Linked DNA regions of Drosophila melanogaster. The protein of the gene in region 4 interacts with the protein of the main gene of each other region in a pairwise test. Each region holds a gene or a part of one and is shown on either strand. Other genes may lie near its edges.

Evidence for each region.
Region 1: the proteins of gce (region 4) and D19A interact in a two-hybrid assay, tested with the Drosophila melanogaster proteins (one large-scale study listed by BioGRID).
Region 2: the proteins of gce (region 4) and REPTOR interact in a two-hybrid assay, tested with the Drosophila melanogaster proteins (one large-scale study listed by BioGRID).
Region 3: the proteins of gce (region 4) and CG6933 interact in a two-hybrid assay, tested with the Drosophila melanogaster proteins (one large-scale study listed by BioGRID).

The regions. Positions count from the first base shown.
Region 1 is NT_037436.4:6,183,740-6,192,258, forward strand, and holds D19A (D19A), read right to left. Parts: upstream 5,385-8,519; 5' UTR 5,241-5,384; coding exon 4,295-5,240; intron 4,234-4,294; coding exon 2,642-4,233; 3' UTR 2,091-2,641; downstream 1-2,090. Other genes in the region: D19B, read right to left, coding at 1-131, 192-1,062; CG43293 (uncharacterized protein), read left to right, coding at 1,657-1,905, 1,965-2,027; CG7386 (uncharacterized protein), read left to right, coding at 6,075-7,385, 7,444-8,121.
Region 2 is NT_033777.3:24,576,822-24,584,721, forward strand, and holds the start of REPTOR (repressed by TOR), read right to left. Parts: upstream 6,044-7,900; 5' UTR 5,892-6,043; intron 633-5,891; exon of another isoform or gene 356-632; intron 1-355. Other genes in the region: CG13625 (uncharacterized protein), read right to left, coding at 6,316-7,900.
Region 3 is NT_037436.4:20,216,961-20,224,219, forward strand, and holds CG6933 (uncharacterized protein), read right to left. Parts: upstream 3,461-7,259; 5' UTR 3,392-3,460; coding exon of another isoform or gene 3,385-3,391; intron 3,276-3,384; 5' UTR 3,144-3,275; coding exon 3,101-3,143; intron 2,704-3,100; coding exon 1,655-2,703; 3' UTR 1,542-1,654; downstream 1-1,541. Other genes in the region: CG17145 (uncharacterized protein), read left to right, coding at 4,892-4,898, 4,960-5,957; CG17147 (uncharacterized protein), read left to right, coding at 7,063-7,069.
Region 4 is NC_004354.4:15,293,745-15,301,730, reverse strand, and holds the start of gce (germ cell-expressed bHLH-PAS), read right to left. Parts: upstream 3,966-7,986; 5' UTR 3,795-3,965; intron 3,695-3,794; exon of another isoform or gene 3,514-3,694; intron 2,723-3,513; exon of another isoform or gene 2,148-2,722; intron 1,223-2,147; exon of another isoform or gene 1,109-1,222; intron 1-1,108. Other genes in the region: CG5877 (uncharacterized protein), read right to left, coding at 5,178-7,394, 7,838-7,986.

The DNA.
Region 1 (8,519 bases), on a different chromosome or scaffold from region 4:
CATGTGGAAGCTGAGCAGCACGGGCCGGGCAAAGGACTTGTTGCAGCCCTCGTAGGTGCACGGATGCATAGCCGATGTCTCCGTGTGGGCGTGCTCCACATGGACGCGCAGTCCATTGGCGGTGGTAAAGCCTGAAATTGGAAAAATAATCACATAAATCTACTTCTCGAGGATCTGCGGGCGGAGTTTACCTTTTCGGCAACTCTCGACGGTGCACTGGAAGGGTAGCAAGTCGTTGTGATGCTTCATGTGCTCCTCGTAGCGAATCGCCTTCTTGAACTTCTGGTGGCAGATGTGGCAGTCAATCAGGCGGTGGCGATCCCGCTCCGTAGCAGGAATCCTCTTGCGTTTGGGCTTGTCCTTCGGATTGCCATCGGAGTCGTCTGATGAGCTGGTCTCCTCGGACTCCTCGGATTCCTCCTCCTGTCGCTTGGCAGCCGACTTCGGCTTGCCCTTCGCCTTGGAACCACGAGTGGCTCCACGCCGGCTGCGCTGGGCCAGTGGAATGTCGTCGTCACTACTGATTTGGAAGTCTGCGTCGAGGTCGTTGTCGTTGCCGCTCTCGAAGGAGTCATCCTGAGATACTCGGCCAAACGGCTGTTCCATCTCCATCTCCACCTCTTCGACCTCCTTTTCGACGGACTCGAGCATCTTGAAGACGTCCTCCTCGTTCTCAATGATCTCGATCTTGGAGTTGAGCAGCGGATCGAAGTGCACGTTGTCCTCTTCCTCGCCCGGCAGATCCGCCACAGCGGCACTGGTGTCCAGAACATCGAAGTTTGTTTGGCAGGCGAACGCGTTGCTGGCCACCAGATCTTGGAACTTTTGAACGGAATCGACGCACTGCTTCTGAAAGTCGTGCAGGTCGTTCAGCTTGGAGAAGCAGACATTGCACAGGTTCTTGGGAAAGCCATCCGCCTGCTCCACGGACAAGGAGGTGCACACGCACAGCTTTTTGGCCAGACCGGGCACTCGGAACAGATCGTAGGCCGCCGAGTCGTCCACCGTGGACAGGCAGGTGCGGCACACCGTGTGTATGGAGTACTGGCTCTCCTCATTCATTTTGGACACTCAATTCGATGCTGGACGATCCCGAAAGCCAGAAATCGCGAAAACCACAGCAATTCGAAATGTTCTTTCGCCGAGAAAAAAATCCAATACAACACACATTTGTGTGTACTCGCGTGTGCGTGTGTGTGTGCACTCGTCAGCAATTCGGGTTATCGATTACCCGCAAGCGACGAGTACGCTCGCTGAAAAACTGCGCAGCTCTAGCACTCGCCACCCACACTCAGGCGTTTTGTTTTGTTTTTCCCATTCACATGCATGTGCGCAGCGGAGAGGGTACGATGGGCGTATTAGACCCAGCGAGTGTGTGTATTCGTAGTCAAGTCACACAGTCGAGTGAGACTGCCGGACAGCTACGAGCACAATACTAGCACTAGATCAATACAATACAAAGAGTCTGAGAATTTAAAATAAAAAATACATATGTCTTAGTTTAAATATTAAATACATTTTTAAACAAATATAAATTTTTTAAGGATTTTCAAAATACCTTAAATCGTTGGTATGTCTATAAATATGGTTGTATCAATTGTTTCTATAGCAGCTTTATTATTATTTGTCATGCTGAGTAAGAGTATACAAAAAAAAATGGAGCAACAACCAGACAAGGATTCCGTAAAAGCTCTCGAAGCTGAAGTTAAGGTATTGGACACTGAACTGGCACTGCAACATGCCGGGAATAGAAGAAATAGGCTTAAACTGGAGATCGCAGAGTTGGAGGAGGTCCTGGAGAAGCAGAGTATAGCATTGAAGAAGGCCAACAAAAACAGGAAGGCAGCTAAGATAATTATCTCAAGTTTGATGGATTTGAATCAGACGGATGGTAATAACTGGACAGTTAAGTCATCAACTAAGTTTTAAAGATGTATTACATAAGATTAACCAATTTGTTTTAGGAGTCAAATAATCCTTCAGACAATGAAGGGTCATCCGAAGATTTCGACGTGGATGCAGAATAGAAACTTTTCCAGTAAAATCCCCCTTTCACATCATTTCGTTCAGCAAAATGTTTCTTAATATTCGATTAAAAATCAATTATCATCTTTATTTGTCTAAATTTAAAGAACGGAATATATGAAATAAAATTCAGCATAACCATCCAGATGGATTTCAGCTAAAAATGACTTATTTTAATTAAATTAAGGTTTGATTAATGTTCTTGCGGGCTAAAAAATTTGTTTTTTGTTATTAAAATATATTTGTAAAAATCACTGGTATTGCAAAGTGGTCTCTTAGTCCCGCCCACCAGATGGAAACTCCAATGGCGTTATGAATATTACTTTTAATCCATTACTCTAAGTAAGCACGGGAGATATTACACGGAAAACAAAATAATACATATATTGCATGTATGTATAAACGTAGTACGTAAAAAGTATGAAGTGTTCATATTGTAATATGCACTCGAATAATCTGGAGTGCCTATAAACCTACAATCTGATCCAGCTAGAGAGCAATTCGAGGCATGCCTACAACTTTTCCGGACAGTGTCAGCTGCATTGGAAGTGGATACATATGGATGTGGCTAGGTTATGATGCATATATGCTAGTAAAGTAAAGCCAATCCTGCTGCCTAGACGTGGTCGATCTTCAGGGCATCCAGGCTGGTGCCCTCGGATTGCGCTTTCTGCGCATAGTAGCCATCGTACGAGGTGGTCGCCTTGATGATCTCCTGCTGCTGCTGCAGCTTCGTCAGCTGCTCGCAGGCCGCCGCCGCGATCTTCTGCCGCTCAATTTCCGCCTTCCGCTTGGCCTCGTTCTCCTCCAGCTGGTGCGCCAGCAGCTCAGCGGTGGCCGCTGCCCGCTCCACCGCCGGATCCTGATACTGGTCAAAGTTACGCGGCTCGGCGTCTGGCTCCAGCTTGCGGAACGTGATCTGAGTGGGCGCACTGCGCTCGGGCACGTGTCTCCGGTTCGGCTTCTCGTGCGTCTTGATGTGTTTCTTGAGTGCCGTCTCCTGGCGGAAGTGTTTGCCACAAATCTTGCACTCGAAGGGCTTCTCGCCCGTGTGGATCCATTCGTGATGCCGCAGAATCTGTGCCTTGGAGAATCTCTTCGGGCAGAAGCGACAGGCAAAGTCCTTGACCTTCTCGTGGATGATTTTGTAGTGAAGTTTCATGTTTCCAATATTATTGAAGCCACGCCCACAGCCTGGACAGATGTGCTGGCCTTCCTTCTTGGTGAAGTTCACTTGCGGCGACCACGAGGGCACGGATACGGATGGTATTGGATTTACCGCAGTACCCGCCAGCTGAGAAATGTCCACCCGCTGGACGCGTCGCGAGTTCTTCGGTTTGGGAGGCACTGCAGCGGTCCCGCCGCCGCATGCCTTCAGCATGTCCTCACTAGGCATCTGGTTGGGGTCCATTGGCACCAAACCATCCGTCTGCATCTGCATCGGCATCTGGCCCGGCATCGGTACGGACATTTGGCCGGGCATGGGAATGTTAAGCTGCTGGCGAAGGGGCTCCGCCGGCGGCAGATCCCTTTTCTCGTGCGTCTTCAAATGCTTGGTGAGGCTCTTCTCGCAGAGGAATATCTTGCCGCAGATCTTGCACTCGCAGCACTTCTCCCCCGTGTGACTCCTCTCGTGCACCTTGCAGGCGTGCGACTTGCCGAAGGTCTTTCCGCAGTACTGGCAGGCAAAGTCCTTGCGCTTTTCGTGCACCACCTTTACATGATTGGACAACGCCTGTTTGTTGTGCGAGGCATGGTCGCACTGTCGGCACTTGAACTTTTTCTCCTTGGTGTGCGTGAGGATGTGGGCGTTCCATTCCTGGCGCGTCGTCTTGCCCACCCCGCAGTACGGACACACATGGTTCTTGATGCCTGCGTGACGCATAAGGTGATCCCTTAAAGCACTATTGATTACAAAACGCTTGCCGCAGATATTGCAAGGATACGGAAGCTCCTCGCCCGTGTGCTTATACATGTGCTTCTTGAGTGCTGTGGGGCAGCGGAATACGGTGTCGCATTCTGTGCAGGGGAAATCTCGAAGCGGGGCAGCCGCCTTGGTGATACCGTGCACCTTCTTCATGTGGAAGGTGAGCAGACGGACGCGCGGGAAGGTCTTGCCGCAGCCCTCGGCGATGCAGGCGTGAACCTCGGACAGCTCTGTGTGGGCGTGGTCGATGTGAATGCGCAGCCCATTGGCGGTAGTGAAACCTGTAAGGTGGGATTTCATAGAGATCGGATACTTATATTTATACTTAAGCCAGCGTTATACCTTTCTTGCAGGTCTCCACCTTGCATTGGAAGGGCAGCAGGTCGTTGTGGTACTTCATGTGCTCCTCGTAGCGGATGGCCTTCTTGAACTTCTGGTGGCAAATGTGGCAGTCGATGATGCGGTGCAGGTGGCGTTCCTCGATGGGAATGCGCTTCCTCTTCGGCTTGTCGCCCCGCGATGTGCCGTCTTCGGAGTCATCTGATTCGGAGGATGAGTCGCTCAACTCCTCCTCCTCTGGCGGAGGCGGTTTTATCTTTTTGGGCCGTCCCCGGGGCCTCGGCTTGGGTTTGTCTAGGTTGCTAAAACGGTCCTGCTGGGGTCCTGATCCGGTAGCTGGTCCCCTCATGCGCTGGGCCAGCGGAATGTCATCATCGCTGCTATTTGGCTCGAAGTCCAGATCGTGGTCGTTGTCATTGCCGCTCTCGATGGACGAATCGTCGTCGAACATCTTGACGGAAACGTTGCCCCCGTCATCCTCCTCCACCTTGGCCTCCTTCTCCACCTCCTCGGCCTCCTTGTCGACGTGCTCCAGCATCTTGAAGACATCCTCCTCGTTCTCGATTAGCTCCATCTTGTGGTTCAGCAGCGGGTCATAGTTGACGTGGTCCTCTTCCTCGGCCGGGTAGTCCTGCACGGCAACGTTGGGATCGAAGACGTCGAAGCTGCTCTGGCAGGCAAAGACATTGCTGGCCACCAGATCCTGGAACTTTTGCACGGAATCGACGCACTGTTTCTGAAAGTCGTGCAGCTCGTTCAGCTTGGTGTAGCACAGGGTGCACAGGTTCTTCGGGAATCCGTCGTTTTGCTCCACGGACAGGGATGTGCAGAAGCATAGCTTCTTCGAAAGTCCTGGAACCAGATACAAATCGTAGGCGGCGTCGTTCTGCAGGTGGTTCAGACAGATCCTGCACAGGCTGTGGATCGAGTACTGCCTGCCCTCGTTCATCTTGCTTTCAATCGCAATCGGCACTGCGGATCGGGGCGGTTTTCTATAGCTTTTTGCGTCTCTCTCCGGTCAGTAAGCAATAAAATAATATTGACACAGAAAAAATTGTATACTCGTCGACTGGCAATCGGGCGAGTGGGCAATAAGCAAGTACTTCTGCCAGCGAGTTACTCGTCCGAGTGCGTAGTTGTTTTGCGTTTCAGGGCTGGACAATCAATGTTTTTTCTTACCTTCTTATTTGCAATTCTAATTAGGTTGCAATATACAAAAAAAAAAAATATATATATATACAACTAATTTAATTAAATAGATATTGCTTGTATACTTCAAATAGTATTTCAGGGTTTTTTAAAAATATTTTGCAAACTGAGCACCATAGTAACAAAAACGAAACTGAACTTACAATATATAGATAATGGTATGTATATATAGAAAAAATATAAAACAAATTTTTTTGTATTAGTATGTATATATAAACATGTAAAACAAATTGCTTTTAATAATAAGCAACGACATTTGAAAATATACAAACTGGGCATCAAGAAAATTTGATACGAAAATGAACGTACAAGATTTCTGTATCGAAATAAAGTCAAAAATAAATAATAAATAAATGTATTTTAACTAGACGCATGCATGGTCTTGCTAAAAAGCACTTACATTAAAACAAGTTAATATAAAAATAAGAATCCAAGTATGCTGTTTACTTGCCACCCCACTACACCGTAATGGGTTAATGGCATAGCGAAACGGTCAGACTGCCTGTCACACTGGAACAAATTTGTTTAGAAGCTTCGATTGTTATCTGCCCGAGAATTGAGGGAAATGGGCACTATGGAGCTCAAGTACTCCGTCCAATCGCTTTGTCTCACCTGCCTTGTCCACCTGAAGCATGGTGCTGGACACGATCTCTTCGTGGTTCCAGATCTGTTCCAGAAGCTCAGGGCGTGCACTTCGTTTGATGCGGATCAAAACGACGGTTTCCCGAGAAACCTGTGCACCCAATGTTTCACCAAGCTGAACGACCTGCATGACTTCCGCGAACTGTGCGCAGAATCTATTAAACGTCTAAAGGAAATGATGACCAGCCAGAGGAATATGCCCATGGGTGTATTCGAATCTATAGCTGATGATTCTGAGGCACCTGAAAGGCCAGAGGAGCCGGCCAGTTTCGATCCGCTGCTGAATAACAAACTAGAGATGATTGACAACGAGGAGGATGTGTTCAAGTTGCTGGAAAAAGTTGACAAGGAACTAGAGGAGCATTCAAGGGACCAAAGCGAGGAGCACTTCTCCAGTGCAGAGCACAACGGACTGGAGGAGGAGAAAAAGGAGTCGGAAGGGTTCAACAGCGACGATGAGCAGGCCATGGGGCAGCGACGGATTGCGAACGACAAGCGTAAACTGTTTCGCCTTATGAGCTGTTCCATCTGCCAGCAAAAGTTCAAAAAGCAATCAAAGTTCGAGGAGCACATGAAGCACCACAATGACCTGTTGCCGTTTCAGTGTCAGGAGGAAAGCTGCCGAAAGGGCTTCACCACAGCCGGTGCACTGCGTTTGCACGTGGACTATGCGCACTCCAAGAAGGAGGATACGGTTCCCTGCACCGTGGAGGGCTGTCAATTGGTTTTTTCCCGTCTCCGGCTGCTGACCATTCACTTGAAAAAGGTTCACAACCAGGCGAGGGTTATTGCTCCGCGGGGTGAACAGTCTTGCAAGGAATGCGGCGTGGTGTTTCGTTGCCCGGTGGCTATGAAGAAGCACATGTACACGCACACGGGCGAAGAGCTTCCCTATCCGTGTACCATTTGCGGCAAGGGCTTTTACATCAATAGTGCCCTAAAGAATCATCTTCTCCGGCATGCTGGCATCAAGAACTACGTGTGTCAGTACTGCGGAGTGCGAAAGACCACCCGCCAGGAATGGAGTAAGCACATTCTGATCCACACCCAACGGAACCAGTTTAAGTGCCGCATCTGCGACTATGCCACCCACACGAAGCGGGTGCTAGAGAGCCATGTTAAGATCGTACATGAGAAAATCCGGAATTTTGCTTGCCAGTACTGTGGAAAGACGTTCGGGAAAGCATACGCCTGCAAAATACACGAGATGGCGCACACTGGTGAGAAGCGCTGCGAATGCAAGGTAAGGGAATTACCATTATACCCTTGTTACCAAAGTCTGATATATTTTCGCCTTGCAGGTTTGTGACAAAAAGTTCCTGCATTCGGAGAGTCTCAACAATCATCTGAAGATTCATGAGAAGAGCGTGGAAAGGGCTCTGGAAACTTATAAACAGGTGCAAGTAAATGGCGATGCCAGTGACACTCAAGTGGACTCACATCAGCTGCTGAAGGTTTACGCCGAATCCGTAGCCAGCATTCCTAAGAATCCCCGCCGCGTAGAGCAAGTTGATGTGGCCCTATTGGCAGGGACCGCAGTGAATCCCACAGACGAGATTCAGTTTGTGCAAAAGGAGGGTATGTACTTGTGTCCCAGCTGCAGTCAGGGATTCAAGAGCATAGGCAACATGAAGCGCCACTACAAGAGCGTCCACGAAAAAGTCAAGGACTTTGAGTGCCGTTTCTGCTCCCGTCGCTTTGCCAACTCGCAATCCGTGAAGCAACACGAGTGGATACACACTGGCGAAAAGCCCTTCGAGTGTAAGACGTGTGGCAATCGCTTTCGCCAGGTAGCGGCGCTCATCCGACACCAAAAAGTCCATGACGAAAAGCCGGCGAAGCCTCTGGGGGAGAGAAATGACCGTAAACAAAAGGTTGAGGCACTACGGCAGGAAATTGCGAAGGTCGCCAAGAAGGAGCTCAAGGATTTGAAGAACCAACTGGCACTGGAGAAGCAGCAAGACACATACGAAAAGTAATAGGCAGCGGCAGCTAGCCAAACTGGTCCTGACCTTAAGGAGGAACCCTAATCGCAGAATAGTTTACGATTACATAGGGCAAAAGACTTCCCATAATAGTGGGAATTTTTATTGTTGGTTAATATTTAACTATTACTTGTTATCCTATTTCTAAGTTGTTAAATAAACTTGACCCAAATGACACACTTTAGAATAACTACAAATGGTTTTGGACTAAAACTAGTTTTAAAAAAAATTGGTCATAAATCGAAACAAACGATTCTAGTTTTTCAATTTTTTTTTATTTTTACTTTCACTTGCTTGTTATTTTGATGAGAGAGTGTCTTAATGTCGTCAAATGATTGCAAACAGTCGGAACCGGGCGCAAATGTCTGCGTTCCGCGATATCCGGCCGTTTA
Region 2 (7,900 bases), on a different chromosome or scaffold from region 4:
GCGAAACAAAGAGAACTGCAGACGGGCAGATATAAAATGGTTGCACTCTGTCTGCCGCCTGCAAGTATTTGCAGTTTAGCAACAAGGCAGCGAGACATGGATCGTGTCTCTATATATGAATGTATATATACTGTACATATAGACAGATAAATAAATTGCCGGCTGCTATCTGGCTGGCGCAATTAATGGATAGCACTACTGACAAGGTTAAAGGCGGCAGATGCCGACACGGATTTACTCCATTTCCAAGCGTAGTGACAATAAAGGATTATTGGCATAGATGGGGGAACAAGAAATGTTACTTCAACCATTTCGCCATGTAACTTATTTAAAATTTCTTACAATCTCCACTTACTTGAATGTATAAAAACGATTGGGATTTTTTATAAAAACACTGCTCTAAATGCGATTAACGTGAGTAGACGATGCGTGCGCAAATCGTTGAAGGCGAAGACTTCGACTTAAAGCAATGCTCCACTAACTCGATCCGAAGATCCTAAGGATTAGGCAACAGAAAAGCAAAAAGGGAACCTAACAAACCGGAAAACGCGACGCGACGCGAAGGACGAACAACGAATAACGAGGAGCGCGGAACACAACCGACCTGTCCGGATTGCACTCGATAACTGTGTCAGCCTCTGGCGGCGGAATGCCTAGAGAGTCCGACCACCAGGACTCGGGAGGAGTCACCGCGCTACAGCTCAGTTGGTCTCAGGTTGCGAACCCTCCACCAAAGCAGCACCATCCAAGCAAGGAGATGCGGGAGAGCGGAGCGTTTGTATCCTCGAATATCCTGGCTGAAGACGCGACGAAGATAACCGCCGTCGTGCGCTGGGGGGTGGAAAGACCGCCGACCGAAAAGTAACCCTGAACAGCCAAGGATAATACTGTGCCAAATCGAAGGACTCTGCTCTCCGTTTTTCTATTTTTTTTATTTTTTTTTTTCGTAGACGATTTAACTTTTTGTTTAGCCAGCAAACGACGCGGGGTGGAAAAGCGCTGGCGGCAAGGAGTTTCCTTCCATGAATGAGTGAGTGAATTTTAGAAAAATAAACTAGGTACAGTAAAACTTTCAATTATTATGTGCTATTTGGACAGCGAAAAAACAACTTTTATTTCCAAGAAAACGATTTGATGGACAGTCCATTAGTAAAGTTTATAGGAATTCAAGTGAAATGGCGTTTCACTGGAAAAGAGTTAAGTATGATTGAAGTTTCAGCTTTTCAAATGCTACATACTTAATTTTAGTAGCATACTTAAAGTGATTTCCCCTTTATATTGGAGCATTAATGTTTGCTGAACGAAGTAACATTTACTTAAATATTATTACCCCTGAACGCAACCACTAATTTCATTTCGCACAAGTACAGTTTGGCCTATTTAAAAAGTCACTTTCCACTTAATTTTCCTCGCTTTCGTTAACCCCCCCCCCCCTGGCATTTCCACCGATTTGCATTTTCCACGCTCTTTAACGCTCAATTATATAGCACATAGAAGGAGAATTTCAAATGGATATGGAAATTGGCGACAAGCAGCGCGACTGGCGATTAAAAAACAGTTTATAAATCATCGATGTCAGTGGCAGTTCGTACACTTCTTTTTTCCCCCTCTAAGTTTTTCCTTTTTATGGCGAACATCTCGTAGATTGTTATGTCCTTACAAATCTGCATATGGATGGCAGAAAATTACATACTTAACTGTGGGTTGCCGCATGCAGTTTCTTTTAATGGGGTGCAGCAACCCTCTTCGAAGATCCGATCCATTCGGTTCCGTTTCGATACGATTGCTTTTTCCACGCGAAAAACTCATTTCAATCATTATTAAAATTTCCTATTTACATTTCTATTGAAATGAATGCGGAAGGGGAAAGGGGAAAGCGCACCTAAGGAACTAAGAAAACAAATCTGAAGAATGAGTGAATAGAAACGGAACTGTTTTTATTGGGAAAACATAAAAGTAGCATAAGTTTAACTACCAAGGGTAGTTAAATCGCTACTATATCATTGTCCTGCTCCCATCTCCCATTTTATATTGTTCCCATTGCCAGAGCAGATCCTTTCGAGCCAAGCTGTCTTCGCTTCCCCCCCGTAAAAAAAAAAAACACCCAAGTTAATGTCCTTTGATCCATATGCGTGTGCTTTGTTCGAAAGCAAACTGGAATTTCAAATTTGGCATTCGGGCAAGTAGTAATAATGAAAATAAAAAGAGTCTCGGGATGCTTTTCATGGTTATCTAGGGCAGCGGGTTGTCTCCTTCGCGAGTCCTGTTTTTGGATTCCCTCCATTGTCTGTCTTACAAAGTTCTGTAAGCAGTACGGTAAGTAGAACAATCCACGTGAAACGAACAATGGATCTTGATTTATGGTTCCAAACTGGAACAGAAGCTCTCGAGCTCTAAATGGTTATGTGGAGGAAGTGTTGTTAAAGGATTTCTCCAACTGAGGATCATCTAAGGTCAGTTCTTGGTATGAAATTTAATATGAGAATTATAGCTCTATATATTTTTATTCCATCTAATTGTTGTTTTCTACAACTTTTGTCAGATTTAATACAATTTATTAGAAGAGAAGAAGATTGTTTCGTTCTTTGGTTCGTCAAGAATCCCTGTTGATCCTGCGAGATCCTTTGACTCTACACCACTTGAACTCAACTTAAACTCCCATTTATAATCATCCAATTTTCTTATATAGTGATCCTAAAATGCTAACTCATCTCGACACCACTTGATGCTTCGCACTTTGAACCCAGCGATGTCATAACAAGCATCTAATTATGCGAGTGACAAATGATCCAAGAAAAGTGCATTTTCCATCCGGACCGTCTCTTGAAGAAAACTTTTTCGAAAATTTGATGAATTAACCTTAATTTCCTGTGTCAGTGGCCGGCGGCGTTTTGAACCCAACACTTTCCTTTTTTTTCTTTTCGCCTCGGGCGGGGGGCTGGAACGAGTTTCTATCAATGGATCCTTTGTCCAAGGATTTGCACGTGTGCACAAATTAGCAGAAACTGGTTACAAGGCATTCGCCTTCTGTTTTCCGATCGAAAGAAAGCGGAGAAACTAGTTTTTCCAGCGGGGCGCTTTTACACAGCATTGTTCTAAGAGGATAAGGTTCACAAAGCAGGGGGGAAAAACCAGATGGACCAGGAAAATTATGAAAATTCCATTGTTTTCCTCTAGTTATTTGTTGGCCTAGCGGGGTGTAAGTCCCCTAGACTTTCCCTCTTCCTATTCCTCCAGCAGCTTGAAGTCGGTAAAGTAATAATTAAGGAATTAGTATACGCTAGTTTTCCCATTAAAGAAACTGATTGGAAGTTCCAGGATCGAGAAGGCAATTCCAACTGAAGTTCCTCCACTCAGAAGCTTCCCTAGCAACAACCCCAAGCGTATGAGTCATTGGAAATCCCAGGATCGGAACACGTGGTGCCGAGGAAATTCCATCGAATCAACCGAATTGAAATTCCCTTTGCCATTCAACAGGATTTCGAACAAAAGGAATTTGAATAACTTTGCCCTATGTTGTTCCAGCATGTGAAGGAATTAAAAAACGCTTTAAAGAACCCGAATCACTGTGCCAAAATTCTACACTGCAAACAATTTGGTACATACATAAACAGTAATAAATAATATTTCAAATATATCAAAATCAAATAGTCAATATTTGTGGTATTCGTAAATATGAAATTTTGCAATAATTTTTTAGCCTAATTTTCCGCACATAATAGTTCGTTTTTTCGTCATAATTTTATAAAAAACAGCCACAATATGGAATGCCATATCTCAAAAAACTCGTTATAAAATTCTAAATCAATTGGCATTTAAATTTGAAAATTTTTTTTTTTGTTAAATTTTTTTCAAAATTTTATGATGTTACCCCTTGCAAAAAATCCAAAATTCATAAAATTTTGAAATTCCAAATATGAACAAAAAAGTGATATAGATCGTTAGTTGGGATAATAAGCTGCACAAAACTATCAAATGTTGTAATGTGAGTACATTTTTAGCCAAGTTATGATAAAAAAGGCGTTTGAAAATAGCAAATTTCTTGTGCTGATTTTACATCTATTGGGAAATTTATTTAGAGTTTCAGATATTGGTAATTTAATAAATATTTTTGACAGTGCATGACACAAACCAACCCCTCAATTTCCGAGCAAAGACCAAGGGGGAGGATCAATCTGTGGATTGTAAGGGGTGCTTGGAACACACGTACTCAGCATGGGATGCGTGTAAATTTCTAAGCCATTACAATGTCATGTCACTGGGTCCTTGGAAGCACCCCATTCGCGAGGAAAAAGCCAAGGAAATGCACAAGGAAGGGCCAAGGACAAGGGTTGAGCTTGCTCTGGGGGTTGCTTTTGGACCAGCGAAGGTTTCCTTGGGGTGTCTGCGCCATCAGTTTATGGTTCTCCCCCTTTTTTTGGGGGGGTTAAGAGGGCCATGTGTCGAAGAAGGCCAAGCACTGATCTTAGCCTGTCTGATGCAAAGAACATTCAAAAACACAAAGTGCCCAAGAAAAGTTGAAGAAAGTTTTCATGCTCAAAAGCAAAATAGGCAAACTTTCAGAAACAGATATTTGATATTTTTACCCTTATCTTAGGGAAATAAAGAATTAGCATCTTTGCGATGTCCATTGCGTGTAATATCTGCCGTTAACAACAAATAACTAAAAACTAGTTAAACTTATAAAGAACTGTTTTTCATGCATTTAAAATGAGTAAACTTGAAGTTTAAAAAACTCAATTAGTCAATACCTTTTAAAAAAATCAAAGTCTATAGCATAATTTAAAACCACCTTCACTTTATGCATTTTTAAGAACAAAGGAGTATAATATGTATGAAAAGTGCACAATTACAACATTAAAGAGAATATCAAACAAATAAATTTACTGCATTATTTATTTATTTATCAAAGGCGCATAATTGATCAAATTAGCACTTGATTGCTAAAAGGAAATAGAAACTGAAAATTATGGATTTACATACACTAACGCAAATTAAATTTACGATTGTGTAAATTGGCTAAATCTTCATTTGCACACAAAGTAACATCCAAACGAACGGCTCTTTGTTAGAGTGCAAAAATAATAATCTAACGAAGTGCAATTAATTCAAAATGAAGCGAAATAAAAGCAGACCACGAAATGGCACACAAGGAATCGAAAAGAAGAACGTAGAGGGGCAGGGGAGAGAGAGGGGGAGTAAATAGCAGTGTCATGAATGAATGCGATGTGCGGAAGTGTGTATGTGTGTCAACGGGAAAGAGATAGAACGAAAGCTGATTGCGGTATTTGCATCCCGCCGCGAGCGAGCGAGATGGAAGCTGCAGCGAGCGACAGGCGCGTGCATGCGCCAAATGCCTGATTGGAATGGTACGTACACATTTCAACATTTCCACACGTTTCTGCAGCTGAAAAGCTTTTGGCGCCAATTTTGCGCCAAGCAAATTGCAGTGCAGCAGCACCAGCAGCAACAACAAAATCACAACAATCAGCCGCAGCAGCAGCAGCTACAAGCCAACAAACAAACAAACTGGTTTTTCATCGGCTGACCGACAATTGCGGCTGAAGGCGAAGGGCAGGCAAAGCAGCTGAAAAAAAAAGGAAAACCACCGAAATCCCAATCCACAAATGCACAAACCAACACGACTGTGGTGTTTTTGTTGTGGTTAAGAGAGTTTTATGCTAATTATTGGGGGCGGGGCAACAAACACACACCACTGGCGTCCCACTCGATACACATATACAGTTGCTTACGCTTTGTTCGCTGTAACGAAAGCAGCAACAAAGCAACCAAAAGCAGAACCATTTACATACACACACACACATCGATACTCTATTGCTTACAAAGCAAAAATCTTAGAATGCTTCTATTTAGCAGATGATGTCACTTACCTATTCTGGTTTTGAAGCCAAAATGTGCGGCACACTTTAAACTTGATAATTACAATGGGTTTTCCCCAGTTACACGGTTTATTCCGTGGTTTTGAAACGATTTTTTGGGAGCGACGAGCAGGTCGCAGGTGTAGATGAAGACTATTTACCATTCGCTTTTGCTCCGCTATTCTACACACAGGGTTGCATTGCGCTGGCGACCAGTGTTGCAGGTGGCACGTCGATTTGGCGGGAAAGTGGCGGGCATTTCGAAAATCAAATTTTTGTAAATAAATATTAAATATTATATTACCTATTTACATTCTTTATTTTCCAAAATAATTCAATAAAACAAAGAAAACGATCAATGTAATTGCTCTTTTCTTTTTTACAGGCAGTGCCTACATCTTTATTGCAACACGAAAGCAAACAACGCTTGCAACATTCACATATCCTCCACGCTGTACTTGTAGGCCTCATCCTGCACGGCCCGCCGTTCGTTCTGTTTGTCGAACCAACGCTGCTCGTAGCCGTTGGATCGATCGACGCCATCCCAGCGATATCCTGGTCGGATGCCAAATCGGTTCTCCGGAAAGCTGCCCTCGTACTTGGGCATCACCGGCTTGTTGTCCTGCTGGTCGCGTTTCTTGCGCTTCTGGCGCATGTACTCCAGCATCGGGTCGTCGGCGTGCTCCTGTTCGCGCAGATGCCTGTCCAGATCCTCGTCGTTGGCATAGCGAGCCACCGGTTTGGAGGCCTCATGGACCATCTCCTCCAGGCGGGACTTGTGATCTTCTATTTGCTTCAACCCCTTGCCCCAGCGATCGTACAGTTCCTTCTTCTTTTTCTCGTGCTCCTCTTTGCGGCCCTGCTCGGCGGGATCCTCATTGGCGGCATCTCGTGCTCGGTGTCCCTTTCTGCGAGTACTGCGCACCTGCACATCGCCATCACGACCGGAAATTTCGCTGGACATTTTCTCGAATAGTTCATGTTCTTGTCGACGCCTTTCGTCGGTTTCCTTCTTCAGCGATTTCGCATCCTGCAGTCCAGCTTTCTTGCCATCTAGTGTCTTGGTGGATTTCGGCTTGTGTGTCGGAGGTGGAGATGCTGATTTGCTGGGCGATGCCTTGGCCCAGCGACTTTTCCTTTCTTCCTTGAAGCGATTACGAGGCGGTGGACTGCGCTCTCGACTTCTGTGATTTCTGGCCGGGCTTTGGTCGGAGTCGTGACGTCTGCGTGGTGATTTGTCTCGTTTTCTGGTTGGACTTTGGTCGAAGTCTCGTTTTCTTCGCGGTGGCGATTGATCTACATCCTTGGGTCTTCTTGGCGGGCTTTGATCGGAGTTTCTTCTCCTCCTTGGCGGCGTTTGCTTGTCATCTCTGCGTCTTCGGGGCGGGCTTTGATCTGAATCCCGCCTCCTTCGCACTGGAGACTGGTCATTGTCTCTCCGTTTCCTAGGCGGACTTTGGTCGGAGTCTTTCCTTTCCCTTCGCACCGGAGATTGATCGTCTGCTTTACGCCTTCGAGGTGGGCTTTGATCGGAATCTTTCCTCCTTCTGGGCGGAGTTGAATCCTTGTCTCTACGTCGCCTTGGCGGACTCTGATCGGAGTTACTTCTGCGGCGTCTGGGTGGCGATTGATCGGAATCCCTTCTCCTTCGAGTGGGTGATGCTTTTCCCGTTCGTTTTCTTGGCGGACTTTGGTCGGAATCCCGCCTTTTTCTGACTGGCGATTGATTGCCATTCCTGGCCTTTCGGGGTGGACTCTGATCGGAATCCCTGTGCTTTTGGCGTGGCGGAGACTGATCGCCATCTCGCCCTCGTCTGGTGGGACTCTGATCTGAGCTTCCCGCCCTTCTTCGCCCCCTTTGAGGACTCTCTTCTCGCTTTGCTGGCTTACTCGATCTCGCTGGGCTTAAATCCCTAGAGCTGCTGCGTTTTTCTTGCTTAATTCTGACGGGTGAACTTCGTCTGGATGGTGAGAATTCATCCTTAACCTTAACAACTGTCGCCTTGCGTCCCCACATCTCC
Region 3 (7,259 bases), on a different chromosome or scaffold from region 4:
TATGCCCTCTATCATCTGGTCCAGTAGTTCGTCGTCGTCGATGTTTATCCCGTTTGAGAGAGCCATCTTCTCGTCGTAATAACTGCAGAAATTCTCCTCGGTTTTCCACTTGCGACTCTCGAATTTTCGCCGGATCTCAGCCTTGGATGATTGCTCGCCAAAAGTCAATGACAATTGATCAAGCAAATTGTCAATTGGTTCGATCAATCGAGCAGGGTGCGCATGTAACCAGACTTGCGCGTTTCCTTTAAGTTTAGTGATGAGTAAGATGCGTAAATGGTTGTCATCGATGTTGAAAGTGCGTGCGATATTTTTGACCACTGTTATCCAGGCACGCGCGCAAGTTTTCCCATCGTAATCGGTTATCGTCTCTTTGGCGAGAGCGAGAGCATCAACTGGAAAACGCTGGCTCTCCGCTCTCTCGTTGGATCGCTGCGGCGAGTGAAATGTTGTGTTCTCTTTTGTGGCGCCAGCCTGCGTAAACTGCGCCGTCTGGATAACGGAACTAACTGTAGCCTTGCTTTGCTCTGGTTGTTGTTGTTCTTGGAACTGCAAGCTCGATCGTGTTCCGTTAAGCATTGCCTTCGCTTCTGCTAGCTCTGCGCGTAGTTGCTGTAGCTCGAACATGTTTGTCTCCCTCTCACTGCCAGTTTCGGTTGATTCTTTTCTGTTCATCGCATTCACACTTACGTGATCGGTGTTAATTTCACAATTCTGAAAATCCAGTGAAGAAAAAATGTCGTTTCCTGGTGGAGCGTTTTTCTGGGGGTGCTCCGGTGGACAATCGCCCCGAACTGCCGTTGGGATGTCTTGCAGCCTCGCGATTAATTCGGTTTTTGTGCCCTCCGTATTTTGGCCCAGAATACGTAGCCAATCTTTTAGGGTTGTCAGCGAAAAGTCGTTCAGGATGATTTTATCGTCCATTTTGGATTATTAATCCCACTTCTGAGATTTTAGCCGCCGTTTACAGAAGTTAATATTCTAATACAATTTCACGTGTCTCTTTTATTTTTGATCTGTCCTTTAGCTTGGTTCAACAGCGACTGACTGCCGCGCTCTCTGCAGAGTGGCGAGTCGATTAGTCGATAAGTTTCTCGATAATATTTGTATGTTAAGGATGGGTGTATGAGTGTATAAGCTTATGACTAGATTGGCTATGTATAATTAGGTATGTATGACTAAGAGTAAAGGAAGAGGGTAGAAGGAGCAGCCTACTACAATACTAGGCTTTGAAGTACTGAATTCAAAACAATATCTCAATGCTGACGTCAATCAAGTAACTTCTCCAGAAATTTCCCAAGCAATGGGGTTTTACTGTTCCACCTTCTTCTAATACAATAGATGGAGGCCATTGAATTTTTTTAATTAATTATTTAATTAACTTAGCTTGGCAGATAACATTTACAAATACCCATCCCGCAGAAATTATATTTATATTTTGAGGCACATTTTCTGTGAGCCTCTTTTTGAAAGATTTGCTACCAAAAAGGCGAACAACTAATCAACAATTTCAAAAACAACAACATTTAAAACAAATTTCGCTTGGTCGAAGTCAACATTTTTATTAGTTTCTTTTGAATGCCTTCAGCATTGGTATTTATTTATATATTTCATAAAAGGTATCTCGGCAAACAGACGTGGCTGGAGGAGATGCTCATGTACTAGCCGTCGAATTACAAATGGCGTAATCGGGAATTTTGGTGGTGCAGATATTGTTCACCTCGTCGTAGTACGGCGCATTGGTGGGACATGATCCGGTTATTCCGCTGGAGCAGATTGTGTAGTTCTTGCAACCCTCATCTGCCATGAATGGATTGTTAACGTTCCCACATCGGTTATGGGTACAGACAAAGGAGGCTGGCGAAACGCACTTGCCAGCATTGAATTGGGTACCGGTGGGACATTGGTTCCAATAGCCAGTGGCGTTTACTGCTGCACAGTAGTAGTACCCATAGCAGGTGACACCATCAGAAACGTACCTATAGTCAACAGATTCCCCATTTACAGTAAGTGGATCTGCTGCTTTAAAAGCTTCTTCGTCACAAGCAGTTGCATTTGTTTGCCCAACAGTGAACTGGTCAGAGTTTCCACTGTTTGAATCTTCGCCGGTGCACGGATTCGTCGACTGGCAGTTGCCAGTGGCTTTATTATAGTAGGGATTGGCGGTGCTGGAACATTTTTCGGAAGTGCCATAGCCGTTGACGCAGTTGATGTAGTTGCCGCACTGGTTCGGATCGCCTACAAAGATGTTGGACAACATGAACCGACAGATGGTGTCCTGCGGGCAGGCGGGTCCCCATATACATTTTGTGGAGGATGCCGAATAGACGCCGCCGGTGCCGCAATCGCCATAGGAGATTTGGCCTGTGCCATCGCAGTAGGCGTATTCGGTGCAGTTCAACGGATTGGCCACATACATGGGAGATTTGACGTTGGAGCATGTCTCAACGGCACTGGTGGAGCACACCGTGGTATTAGCGTAATCACAGCTGCCGGCCTGCGCGTTGAACACCAAGCCGTTGGGACAGGTGCCCCAGGCCACAACCTCCTGGTTCTTGCAGTATCCCCAGGCATGGCAGTTGCTCGGATTGCCGATGTATCCATAGCCCGACCACTGTTGGCACAGATCATCCATCGTGTAGCCGGTGGCCTGCGATGCCATTAGGAGACATGCGGCCACGACACAGATCCTCATATTGATTGCTAAATGGGGGATACAGGGGGATACGAACTATGAATTATTAAATAAAATATAGACATGTGTAATCGTCGAATAGTTTTCTATTTTGTTTGTACTTAATAATGCAAAGAAATTATGCTAGAAACGACAAAATTGATAGCTTTCAATCCAAAATTCGTGTTAGCGTCTCTAAAATTGGTTAAGCCTTTGTTGTAGCCAACACGGCAGCCCTTTTTTTGGATAAAAAATCAATTAAGGACGAAAGAAAAACTCAATTTGAGTAACAAATCGAAATTTGAAAGTCATTTTAGCCATTTTTGAAAGTCATCTCCTTTGCAGGAGAATTTCAGGGCCTTAAAACCATGTTTGAAACCACTTTTCAAAATTTAGTCGAAGCAAGACGTCTTGAATACTGTGCACCTGAGATAACTGTATCCGTTCTTCGAGCCAACGTACCTCCCATCTTGGAATGCTAATATTTTTCGGGGACAAATTCACTTGATAGACAGACGACCGAAGCGAACGTTCCGATTTCGTTACTAACTCAATCAATTGCAGCCTTTGCGTTTTTATAGTTGACAATTCGCGGCGCGAACTGGGTGGGTAATTAAAAAATTGTCAGCCAGATAAGCCAGCCGCCAGTAGGGCGTTAGTATCGAAATTAATGCTAGATAAGATTCTAAGGTCTGGGGTAAACCACGCACCTTGCATCCCTCCGAAGTTGTTGGGTTAGCTTGAAGGCGGTTCGAAGGCGTTGGACGACGAAAGTGAAACTAGCGGACCCGGCCAAAATGGACTGGCTTATAAGCTCAAATCGATTCTTGGCCAGCGGACACCATACATACTTAGTTTAGTATGTATATATAGTTTATATATATTTTTATACGTTGACAGCCGCGCCGGAATTTGGATTATCAGCTGCTGATTGCGAACCCTCTTTGTCTATAATTGTTTTTTAATTTCGAAGAAGCTCGAGGAGGCGGGAAAGTGTCACGGCTCTTATTGATCACTCAGTGGTGTTTCCCTGGTATCTCGGCACTCATTTCAGCAACACGACATTAGTTAGATATCTCAATTTGAATCGCACTGCGACTCTTGACTTGACTTGACTAGACTTTCCTCTGAAGGTTATCAGGTTCTGGGGAAAAATTACCGAACTACAAATGTTTATATTAATAACTTGTCCAAAAGAACCGTTTGAACTGAAATACAAAATAAATAAATCGCACTATGAAATTATGAAATTATGAGTTATATATATTTATTTATTTGTATGCATAATTAAATAGTACAATTATATGCAAGTATTTTGAAATTTTATTATCTATCTATATAATCTATAAAAATAATTGATGTTAATGTTTAATAACAAAAACCCCATTTTTTTAGTCAGTTTTATTTTCCGTTAAACTATTTTAAATCTATCCGCCTTATTTTATTGTTTCGCCTAAAAGCGAGTTTTGTCCGTTTAGAAATTCGCCCATAAGTATGCAATGACATTTAAACACTTTACTCGATACTTTTTCCAAATCACAAGGCATTTTCGAAGTAATTTAAATTCTTAAAAAATAGTTCAAGCTACGTGCTTATTTACTTTTTATATTTAATTGGTAGAGTACTAAAAATGTTTTTTTTTTTATAATAAAGAAGGGAAGCTCTCTATTAACCCACTAAGCCTTATGAATTAAACCAGCTGATCTTGCTCTTCATTTTATTACTATTTTTTGGCCGAAATGATAACTTATCTACTTCCTATTTAATTTACCGGTAGCCAATTGGCAATCTCCAACTTGTTTATAAAATCACCATTCACTACGACTAGAAATCACCCAGTACTTTAGCAACGAAAAATATAATTAATTTTTTCTGAAGTAAAATTTTATGAATGCTCCTTAAAAACATTAAATTTATAAATACAATTTTATCAAACATTCCCATTTTTTGTGCTCTATCATTTACCTTTTCAAAAATATTATATAGCAAATCCCTAAGCAAAATCAATACATTTGATTGTAATCTTCGAGCTTTTAACAAATGACTTCTATTCATCTTTATTTAACCCATCTTACCCAGTTGAATACCCCTCAAAAACCAATCCGCTTATCTTGCCAGCAAATAGTGATTGCTGCTTATCCTCTGATATTTATAAGTAATCGCAGGTCGACGTTCAGATTCAGTACGAGTTTATGCTTTGTCCAAAGTTGAGCTGTAATGGAAAGTGAGTGGATTGCAAACTGCCAGTGGTGTAAATCTAACTTTATTGTTTTTTCAAATTGCAGAATTTGGTGCCATACTGGGCGTGGCACTGGTGCTACTGCTTCAAGGCCTAGATGTGGTTAATGGCCGGAATGAGGACATCTGCCGCTTGTTCTCCAATAATACGGTGATCCGAGATCCCGAATCCTGCAGTCAATCGATCACGTGCATCGATTCCGTCAGCTACTACAGTACATGCACGGGATCTACTCCGTTTTTCGACAAGGACACGGGCAAATGCGTTAAGTCACTGTCCACTTCCACGTCCAGCTGCTCGATATCCTGCGCGGATCGGGCCAAGCAATTCGTGGCCGACCCCAAGTCCTGCTACGGCTACTATTACTGTGCGGACGAGGAGACGGCCTTGTACGGCACCTGTCCGCAGGAGACGCACTTCAATGCCACCACCCAGATGTGCTCCCGCCAACACGAATCGGATTGCACCACCAGCACCTTCGAGTACTGCAGCATTGTTAAGAACGGCGTAAACTTCGACAATCTGCAGGGCTGCAATATGTATCACGTCTGTGAGAAGGGCGTCCTGAAGGACAAGACATGCTCGAAAACCTATTATCAGGCCAGCACGGGCGAGTGTGTGTCCAAGGCTCTGGTGGACTGCGATGCCCATCCGTTGCCCACGGATGTCTGCGGCAAGGCCAGTAAGCCCTACGAGAACAAGTTCGTCGCGGATGAAGCCACCTGTCGCGGCTACTTCTACTGCGCCAAGCAGAAGGATGGCACCCCGGACCCCAATCCGGTGTGGAACCAGTGTCCCCAGGACAGATTCTTCGATGCGAGCAGCCAGATGTGCATAACCCCCAGTTCGGTCTATTGCTCCCACGATCGTTGCGACGGTCGGACTGCTAGTTTTGTCGTTAGTGCCACCAAGGGCTGTCGCAACTATCTGAGCTGCTCCGACGGGGTAACCGTGAGCGAGAGGTCCTGCGGCAACTACTTCTTCGACGACCAGCAGGGCGCCTGCACTCCAAGTGTCCAGACCTACACCGCGTGCAAGACGTAGGCATGTATTTCCAATAAAGCTCAGAATGCAATGTGATATTTGGTTAAGGAAGTGTTGTAATGAAGTGCACTAGTTTGGATTCTTTCGGGGACTGTGGAACCTGGATTGTCATAGATATAGATACGCGGCTCTCTAGCGAGTTCGTGTTTATGCACAATGACAAGTTTCTGCTGTAAGCCAGTATCTTTGCTGTAACTCGAGGATCGTAGTTGAGATATATTGTTTTTTTACCCGTTTTTATAAGAACGTAGATTGTTTTCGTTGCTCTAATGCTTAAGATTAGCTACCAAAAAGAACAATAATCTTAAACAAGTTCTAGTTCGAAATTCGAATAAATAATATCTGATGGGTGAGTGAAGAACACCTGTATTTTGTTTAATATTCCTGGAACAATTCAGCTGAAAACTAGGTAAATGAACAAATAGAATTTTAAGAATTCACTCAATCATGGAAACTTTTCTTGCAGGTGGTAACGATGGAATAGCATGGCCTCACCGAGGAGACCATAAATGATAATCACTGTCCTATTCGTTGGTTACAATCAATGTTTTCAAAAGTTCTGATTTTCCAAACAAAAACCTATCGAAAGCGACAGTGAAATAGCAAGGCAGTATATTTTAAAAGGTTGTCATATTTACGGCACAATAACTGCTGACCGTTTAATCGCATCAGCGATAAATATATTTATAGTTCAATTAATTAACGGCCAACAGAAGGTTCATTTGACTCGTAACTACCGTGGGTATACCTCATTAACTAGTGGCACTTTCCTTTTCGACTGAAGTTGCCAAAATTTACTATGAAAGTGAGTCGTTAAGGAATCTGCAGTCAGCTGTCTCGATTTCAATCGATTTCAATCACCAATTACGACCTACTTGAAGGGTTTTACCTCCTTTCGCACAACATTGATAAGATTTGCTCATAAGAGAGGCAATAAAGCGCTGGTATCAGCAGAAGCAGTGGCAACGATAATGACTCCTAGTTAATATAAGATTCTTCCATTCACGAAACTCCATTTAGTCGCGCGTAATTGGTTCCCGAGGCCACATCAAACCACTCGATCTATTCTGTTGCAAATTAAACCAAAGTTTCCCAGCAATCAGCCATGCTAAGTGAGTTTTATGAACCCATTAATTTACCGTCATAGATATTTACTTATACACCCTGATTCAGCCTTTATTTTTAGTGAAAAGTAACAGCTTGCATGCGTTTTTAAAGATACAATTAAAATGTAGAATCTAGATATTTTGTTCATTCATATTCATTTTTATAGGTATATCTTTAAAGGTTTTTAAGCATATC
Region 4 (7,986 bases):
AAAGTAGTACCATTAGCTCGCTCATTTTGGCATTCCATTTCTCTCGGCTAACTTTCCCTGTCTTAAATTATGCTTGACTGCCCAGAGAATCTGACACATTTAATTGAAAATTAAATATTTAACTTAAAATGCCAAGTTATTCAAGTAGTGGACGTCATTTCTTGGGGTCGCCATCGGTTGGCGGTCGTTTTTATTGTCTAGGTTAGGTTATCAATTGCCGCTGCTTAGGTCCGCTTTCAGTACAGGTTCGGCTTTCCTTTTCCCGCAGCTTTAGAGCGTCTTGGCCCCTCCACAAAAAATACCGCCTGGCCCCTCTCCCCACCAGGCCCCCCTGCTCACATTTAAGCGACGAGCTTTTGACTCTCTATACCGCTTGGCCCGCTCAACGCTGAACGCTGAACGCTCGCCGCTCAGCCAAAGCGATCGCTCTTAGACGCGACGTCAGCAAAAAATTTGATGAGGGCGACAAGAACAACAAGTTAGAAAAAAAATAAATAAATATGTTTACATATACGAACTCGTAAAAAAATATAAAAGAAAGAAAAATGCTAGGGAAATTGACTGCATATTTTATTGTCCTTAAAAATGAAACAGACATCCAAATTATATGGTTTTTTTTTTAGAGAACTTATGCTTTGGCTATAATTTAAAAGCTACCCAATGTACCTATGGATTTTTTAAAATATTTATAAACTGCCTTGAGATTTGTACACTTATATATTTTTAACAGTTTCCCCCCTCTTTCAATTCACTTGAATTGCCAACATCAGCATGCGACGTAGAAATTAATTATCAAACATAAAACAAAACAAAAGCCAAAAAGTAACAGAGAAAATAATAAAAATGAAAAACATCCACACAAAAATCATCAACATCATCATCATCATCATCATAACCATCATCACCATCGGCAACAGCACACAGAAAACCTTGAGAGCAGCAGCAAAGCAGCCGAACAAAAAACAAAAATTGGAAAGAAAAAACCAAACCGAATAGCAAAAAAAAAAAAAACAGAAAAAAAACACTTTTATTGATCGGAACTCGGAACTGGTAAATCATTGAAAAATTGTTGCCAACAAATACCTGATGCTGGGCTATTTATATTTACTTTTATTGCTATTATCATCCAAAGCTCAGTTCCATCGCACTCTTTCCATGCTGCCCACAAGTTCAAGGGAGGCTAAGAACCCATCATAAAGTGCTCCGCCATATAACATCTATATTCATTGGAATCCGTTGATCTTCGCACACCCATTAAAGCGCAGATCTGGAATTTTGGCCATAATCACACTTCCCGCTTTCGTGCTTTTTGGGTATGCCGAAGTCGAGAGACTCGAGTTCTTCACGCTTGTTTTGTTTTTCTGTTTTTTCTTTTCTTATTAAAAAATTAAATAAGTCGAAAAAAGAAACTGGAAATTCATTAATATGTTAATTTTATTTGTCTTGCCTCATTGATTGTGTCGATGCGAATGTGATAGTTTTTTTTTTGTATGCATTTGTATGTGTTTGTGGATGGGCAAACACGTTAATGTTGGCTAAGCAGATTTTCGAAGGATGACAAACACAGACAGTGGGAATGTTTTTCGTAAATCGAAACTTTTCCCAACTCAACAAAAAACTGAATCGTTCTCGGGTTTCGATCGCGCAAAAATGCGCGCACGCGCCGCTGATTTCAGCACATATGCTCGTACTCGTAGGCTACACCATATAAAACCAATTCTCTGCACAAGAAAACATCGAAATCAGTGAACAAAAACGGAAATGAAACAGGATCACAAGAGTACCAAAAGTACTCTGATCAACAGCATCTAATGCCGCGCACTCAACAATACACCAACAACGGTTCACCAACAGCTGCTAAGCTCGAACGTTTCAACAATATTAATTTTGCGCTTGGTGGTTGGTCGGTTGTTGAAACTATATCTACACTCCAATGCACCAACGTAGAGCACAAAAAAATACTTGTTCAAGCTTGTTCAACAACACACCAACAGCGGTATTTAAGCCCCATTGGGCTTATGAATATACATACTAGTCGTATAATAGGATAATTGGAGTTTTTCATACACCAACGTTTGGTTGTTGAAACTGTCCAACTGGAAGATAGCCCTATAATTACTATATGATTTAAGGTCACCGCCATCTACCTTTTTGATAATATTTCCCCTCGAGCGCGTTTTTGGTTTGTTGTTTCAAACTTTTTTTTTTACACTATAGCACAAGCACTGGCACAAAACACACACACGCAAACAAAAAAAAAGGCGGGGGGGTTGTCAAAACGAAGTTTGTTTGTTGCCTGTTTTATTTCGGTTTTAATTCCTCGTTTTGTTTTTTATTTTATTTTTTTTTTCAACTTTTATATGGGGCTCTGGGGGGCACTGTTTGATAATCCAATTCCATTCGTTAACGCGGCGCCATTTACGTTGCTCGAGCGTGTTCTTTGCATTTTAGCAGCGGCGGCGACCACGAAAAAGGCAAGTTGAAAGAGAAGGAAACTCGCACAATCGCTCACACACGTACGCAGAGCCAAAGAAACATTCAGATACAAATGCGAAATACGAATATACTCATAAAAAAAAAATAAAAAATAATAATAAATACGAAACAGCGACGGCTGGCGAACCGAATTCGAACTCCAAGCTCCAAGCGAACCGAACGAACACCAAGCGGACCAAGCGAACGTCGCGACGCGTCCGTCCGTACCGCTACAGAAACAAAAATTAATTACATATATTGAAATCACAAACTAAACTAATCAGCCAGACGACGAGCGGAGCAGCGACGGCGGCAGCGGCAACGGCAGCGGAGAGCCGAGCCGAGCGCGAATCAGCTGCCCGGAAAGCTAACGCTCCACTCACGCTCCACTCCGCTCCCGCTCCCGCTCTAGGTGCCGCTGCCCCAAAGAAGCAGAAATGGCAGGGAAAAGAGCGTGAAAGATGAAATATACAATAAAAGCTTCGCTCGTCACCGACAGCGGTGCGACAGAGATGGCGATTGGCCAAACGCCCACCAGCAGCGAGTGTGAGCGAGAGCGCAGCAACAACCTGCGTTGGAAAGCTGGCGAGACCTTGACTAAGGTTTCCGGCCGGGAAACCCTCGGCGAGTTCATGCTCACCCAGTACACCGGGAAAAAAGAAAACGTTGCTAAAACTAGAGTTTTGCACAAAAAATCACTTGAATCTCCTCTGTTTATAACAATCTCCAAGGAAGCATTATATAATAATAATAATAAGCTATCAATTATTTTGATTACACTTATCTGTAATAAATTTAGTAATATTTGAGTTATAGATTTGGAAATCTGAGATAAAGATGCTTAAAAAATATGCAAACTGTCACGAATCGCATGCTCGCAAACTGGTTTTCCCCACATTTTCTAGCAGTGCACATTGACTCTCTGCGCTCTCTGTCTCTATCGTTTTCTCATTTTCTGAGTTTCCTCTCTGAAAAGCTTTTCCCCTTTGCTAGAGTAGAGCCGCAAAAGAAGGTTGGTGTTTAGTCTACGAACTTGACGCTGGCGTCTTACACAATGCTGCTTCTTCTTGCTTCTGCTCTACACCAACACAGAGACATCGCAGCACACACACCCAAACAGGAAGAGAAACACACACACACACACGACTTAGAACGGGGGAGCACTCTCAAAAAAATTACACTCGCTATCGAAACGAAATGGAACAAAAAACACTCGGCCGTTATAGCGATATATACATATATATATATATATGTATGTATATATTATTATATATGGATTGGCCTGATACTGGCCAGATATTCCGAGCTCTAGCACTAACCTAGGAACTGGAAACGGTCTGGAGTGCCTGGGAAACCTTGAGAGGAGACTCCGCCGCCATGAGACTAGGGACTACGGAGACGCCACTTGGCCAAACGGGCCGCTTCCACTGCAGCAACGGCCGATGCGGAGCGACAACGCGTCGTGGGACTTGGACAGATGCCGACCGACTGCCATCGATGAAGCCCGGTCCAAAGATGTCGGATGGGTGGACGAGCAGGCGAACAGACGGACGTGCGAATGGACAGCAGCCAGGACTCTCGCGCTCAGACAGCTTTCGATGCGTTTCGGCGAGCGGAGCTTTTCATCCCCACTACCCCTCTGCCCAATCACAGCGTTTCCTCTCCCGATTTCCACGCTTTTCCAAAGAGCAACAGTAACGCACAGGAGTCTTAAGTGGCTGGGCAGACAGGGCGCATACGCAACATTCGAGACGAGTCAACACTCAGCCACAGCCGTCTCGCTCGCGCTCACGCAACTTGGCCACCACACTTGCGGTCACACAAACAGATCGCATACAAAATATCAATCATTTTATCGTCAATATCATTCATGTCATTTAATACAAATCCTTTAATGTGTACATATTAAATCTAAATTTATCAATATTTAACAAGTTAGCTGTTAAAACTACTCATAGCTAAATAGGAATATAAATATTTTTATTTGTAATTTACAAATGTAGAAAACTTCTTAATTTCTTTTGCATATTTAAATGATTTAATAAATTTAAATAAACAGAACCATAAACTATTTGCAATATATTTTAAATTTCAGTAATATAAAAATAAGCTATTTGCAATATATGTTTCATTTCAGCGATATGAAAATGACATAACAAATATGTTGTATTTAGTTCGTCTCACAGCTTCCAGGTGCTACAATTGCGACCTCAGGTGCGCAGTGATTCTTTCGGCGCTGTTTTGGCTTATGAGTTTTGTTCGGTTATCTTGCGATAAACACAATCAAAATAATAAACACAAGAAAATGCTGGATTCGGGGGGAGCGGATTGGCCAGAAGATGAAGTTGGACTAATCTCCGACATTCGATATGCGACTCTGGTTTCCTTGCACAGCAACGAGCGATAAAGTGTTGGAATTTTTTTTTAACATAATCGAACGGCGAGTATTTTTGAGTAGCAAAATCGCTAATTCTGAATTTGTTAGTGAGCCAATTCTGATAAGCGATTTAGGATATATGTAGTAAAATATGCATGTACGCATATAACTGCAAACAGCTTATCGCAATTTCGCCAGTTAACTTAAAGTTGAAGCAAACTTCAGAACTAGATTGTTTGAAGAAATAAATATATTTATGATGCGAACTTATCGAGTCGCCCGAATGGCAAATAACCTCAAAACAAACGAATAAAACCAAAGCGACTTAAAAGCCCCTCAAGACGTCCACTTCCTCGGGCATAGCGAAAATGCGAATCTCTTTTTCGGTCATCAGGTCCTGTAGCGATGCTAGTTTCACTGGCAAAACCTTGGCGCCTTCCATCAGTAGTGACTTGTCCCAGGGACACTCGTCCATGGCCATTATAAGGACTTCTTTGCTGCGCCTAAACGAGGCATTCGTTTTGGATAGGGCAATCATGTACAAGCGCCAATAGATGGAGTTCCTGCGCAGTATGCGATAATGCTCTTCCTCCACATCCAAACGATCTAAATTGGTCGGGAGAAAAGTCTCGACAATGCTGACCAAACGATTGCACACCATCTTCCTTGTGGCTTCCTTTGAAAACTTATCGTTGGTATCTACGATTCCAAAGCGATTGTGAATCGCAACGACCAAGTGCGCCAGTGAAGCGATGCCGGCTTTGGTGCGTATGAGCCGGCTACGCTGCTTGTGCCACATAATCGATTTTAAGCTGGCCCACAGCTGTAGAAACACCATATTTCGTGGAAACTCTTCGAGTCCATTCTCGAGCAGTTCATGTAGCTTGATCTTTTTGAATCCAGTATAGAATTCAACTTCGCCAAATACTAAAAAGGACAAACGCAGATGTAGCATCTGTATTTCCATGATCTGCTCCCTAAGGAAACGCTTTCTTTCGCTGTCCTTGACGGCCTCGGGACCAAATTCGTTATTCTGCAGGTCATTGAGCCACATTCTAGCCTCCTTATGACGACGATTATTCAGCACTTCGATCAAACAGATAGCGCGCAAGAGGATGAGCAATTTGTTGGGCTGGAAGTACTCCTCCAAAGACATCTCAGCTGGCTGGGTATCGAGGGATTTCAGTTCCGCTCGCACCATTTTCTCTGCATTTCTCAGGCCTTTCAAAACCTGTTCCTTGGAGTAGACAGTTGTCTGCTTTACTCCGGCATGTTTTTCCAAACACAGTGAAACGAGTATGCCGATGGCCTTAGATATGCGGCCCCTATGTATATGCAATTCTGCACAAACTAAATAGAGATGCATTGTGTCCACGCAACTAATGCAGCTGGATTCTTCCGATTTTTTTGTGATGATCCTCGAAATTATGGAAAAGCCCAGTCGGTAATGCTTAGCCTCAATTTCGCACAAGGCCTGTTCCGTGTAGAAACTAATAACATTTCGGTTCTCCGTCAAATTGATCAGTTTGCGCATCCGTGTTCGTTTATCCTTAAAGAATTTTTTCGTTAGCTTGCCCATGGACTTGTGCAGCACTATTAATAGTTTTTGGAATCGCAAATACAGAATAAGCAACAATCGTCGCTTGGACTCCTCGCCGATAAAGACTTCGACGCATTTGAGTAGCATATTACTCACGGTATCCGCATACAGTTTATGGCCAACAAGATGCGGCATGTAGCTGGGCGTCACGGACATCTCTCTGGCTAAGTCGATCATGGCTGCATCAAATTGATATTGCAACGAAGCCACTGCATAGGAGTGCCTATCTACTATGGCAGCGAAAAGCATTTCAATGGCCTCAGACTCGCCGAAGTCCTCGATGCAAGGATTCAATTTGTCCGCCAAACTAGCGCTGCGAATCAGGGGCAATTTCATTAGTTGAACAACCACGAGCACCAGGTGCAGACGATTATTCTGCGACTTGAGTGCGTGTACATATGGGACAAGTTTGTCGCTGCAAAAGTATCGTTCGGCGTTCATCTTGTTTTTGAAGACATTAGTCGACGAAGCCAGCTTGTCTTTCAACGGCAGGAAGCAGTATGCCTGTCTGAGCTGCTCCACACGCGTCCAGATCTCGGGCATCGGCATTCCCGAACGCAGCACCACTTCCTCGAATCCAATCAATGCTTTTTCTCTTCCTGCATGTGCTTGTAGGCATTCGAACGTCAGGTAGGGGAAATTCAACTCCATAGACAAACGAATCAGAGCAAACATCCAGTTAGTATGGCCCGATTGGCGTAGGAATAGTAAGCAATTGTGAAAAAGTTTTAGCATTATCACATCAGTCTCCTTAATGATGAATCTTCGGGTTATTTCATCGTTGTGTCCCACATGCATGCGGCGCATGCTGTACTCGTAAATCCGGAGCACAGCGGACACGTTGCAACAAGCCATGTCGCCTTGGGTGATCATTATTAGGTTGCTCCACAGTGTGTACTGGAATGGGTTTCTCTTCAGCATTTTCTCGAATCGCCTAGCAACCTGAATAAAAGAATATCGTGTATATTGATAAAATATGTCGATTAAATGTTAAATGTTCTTTTCTACATACAATTCGTTTTATAAAAGTACTTGAAAAAATTTCACGCGATAAGCAAAAATTAAAGTGTTTTGTGTGAGAACCGGTAGAAAAATTTTAGTTCGTATAATTCTCACAAATTTAAAAAAAATATATCAGCTAGTCGCCTTTAAAGTGTGAATTGTAATGACTCTCTGGCCCTGACAGTATGTTTCAAATCTATTTGATCCCATTTACAAAATATTACCGGGTTACTATGATCCATACATACATATGGCTATTGTTTTTTCCCAAATATCATGTTTGGTGTTTTGTCACCATTGCAGTGCAGTGAATATGATCGAAATTAATTAAATAAATACTGAAATTATTTGGAATTTCCTGCGGAAATTAACCCATCGCTTACCTCGTTGGCCTGATAGGTGGCATTGGCCACGTGCGTGTAGAGCCGCAGAATCTGTTGATTGGACGGATGGTGCTCCATGGCCGTTTCCAGGCTGTGTATCTGTTGTTCCGCCACCGCCAGCCGATTGGCCTTGTCCAAGTTGAGATTGA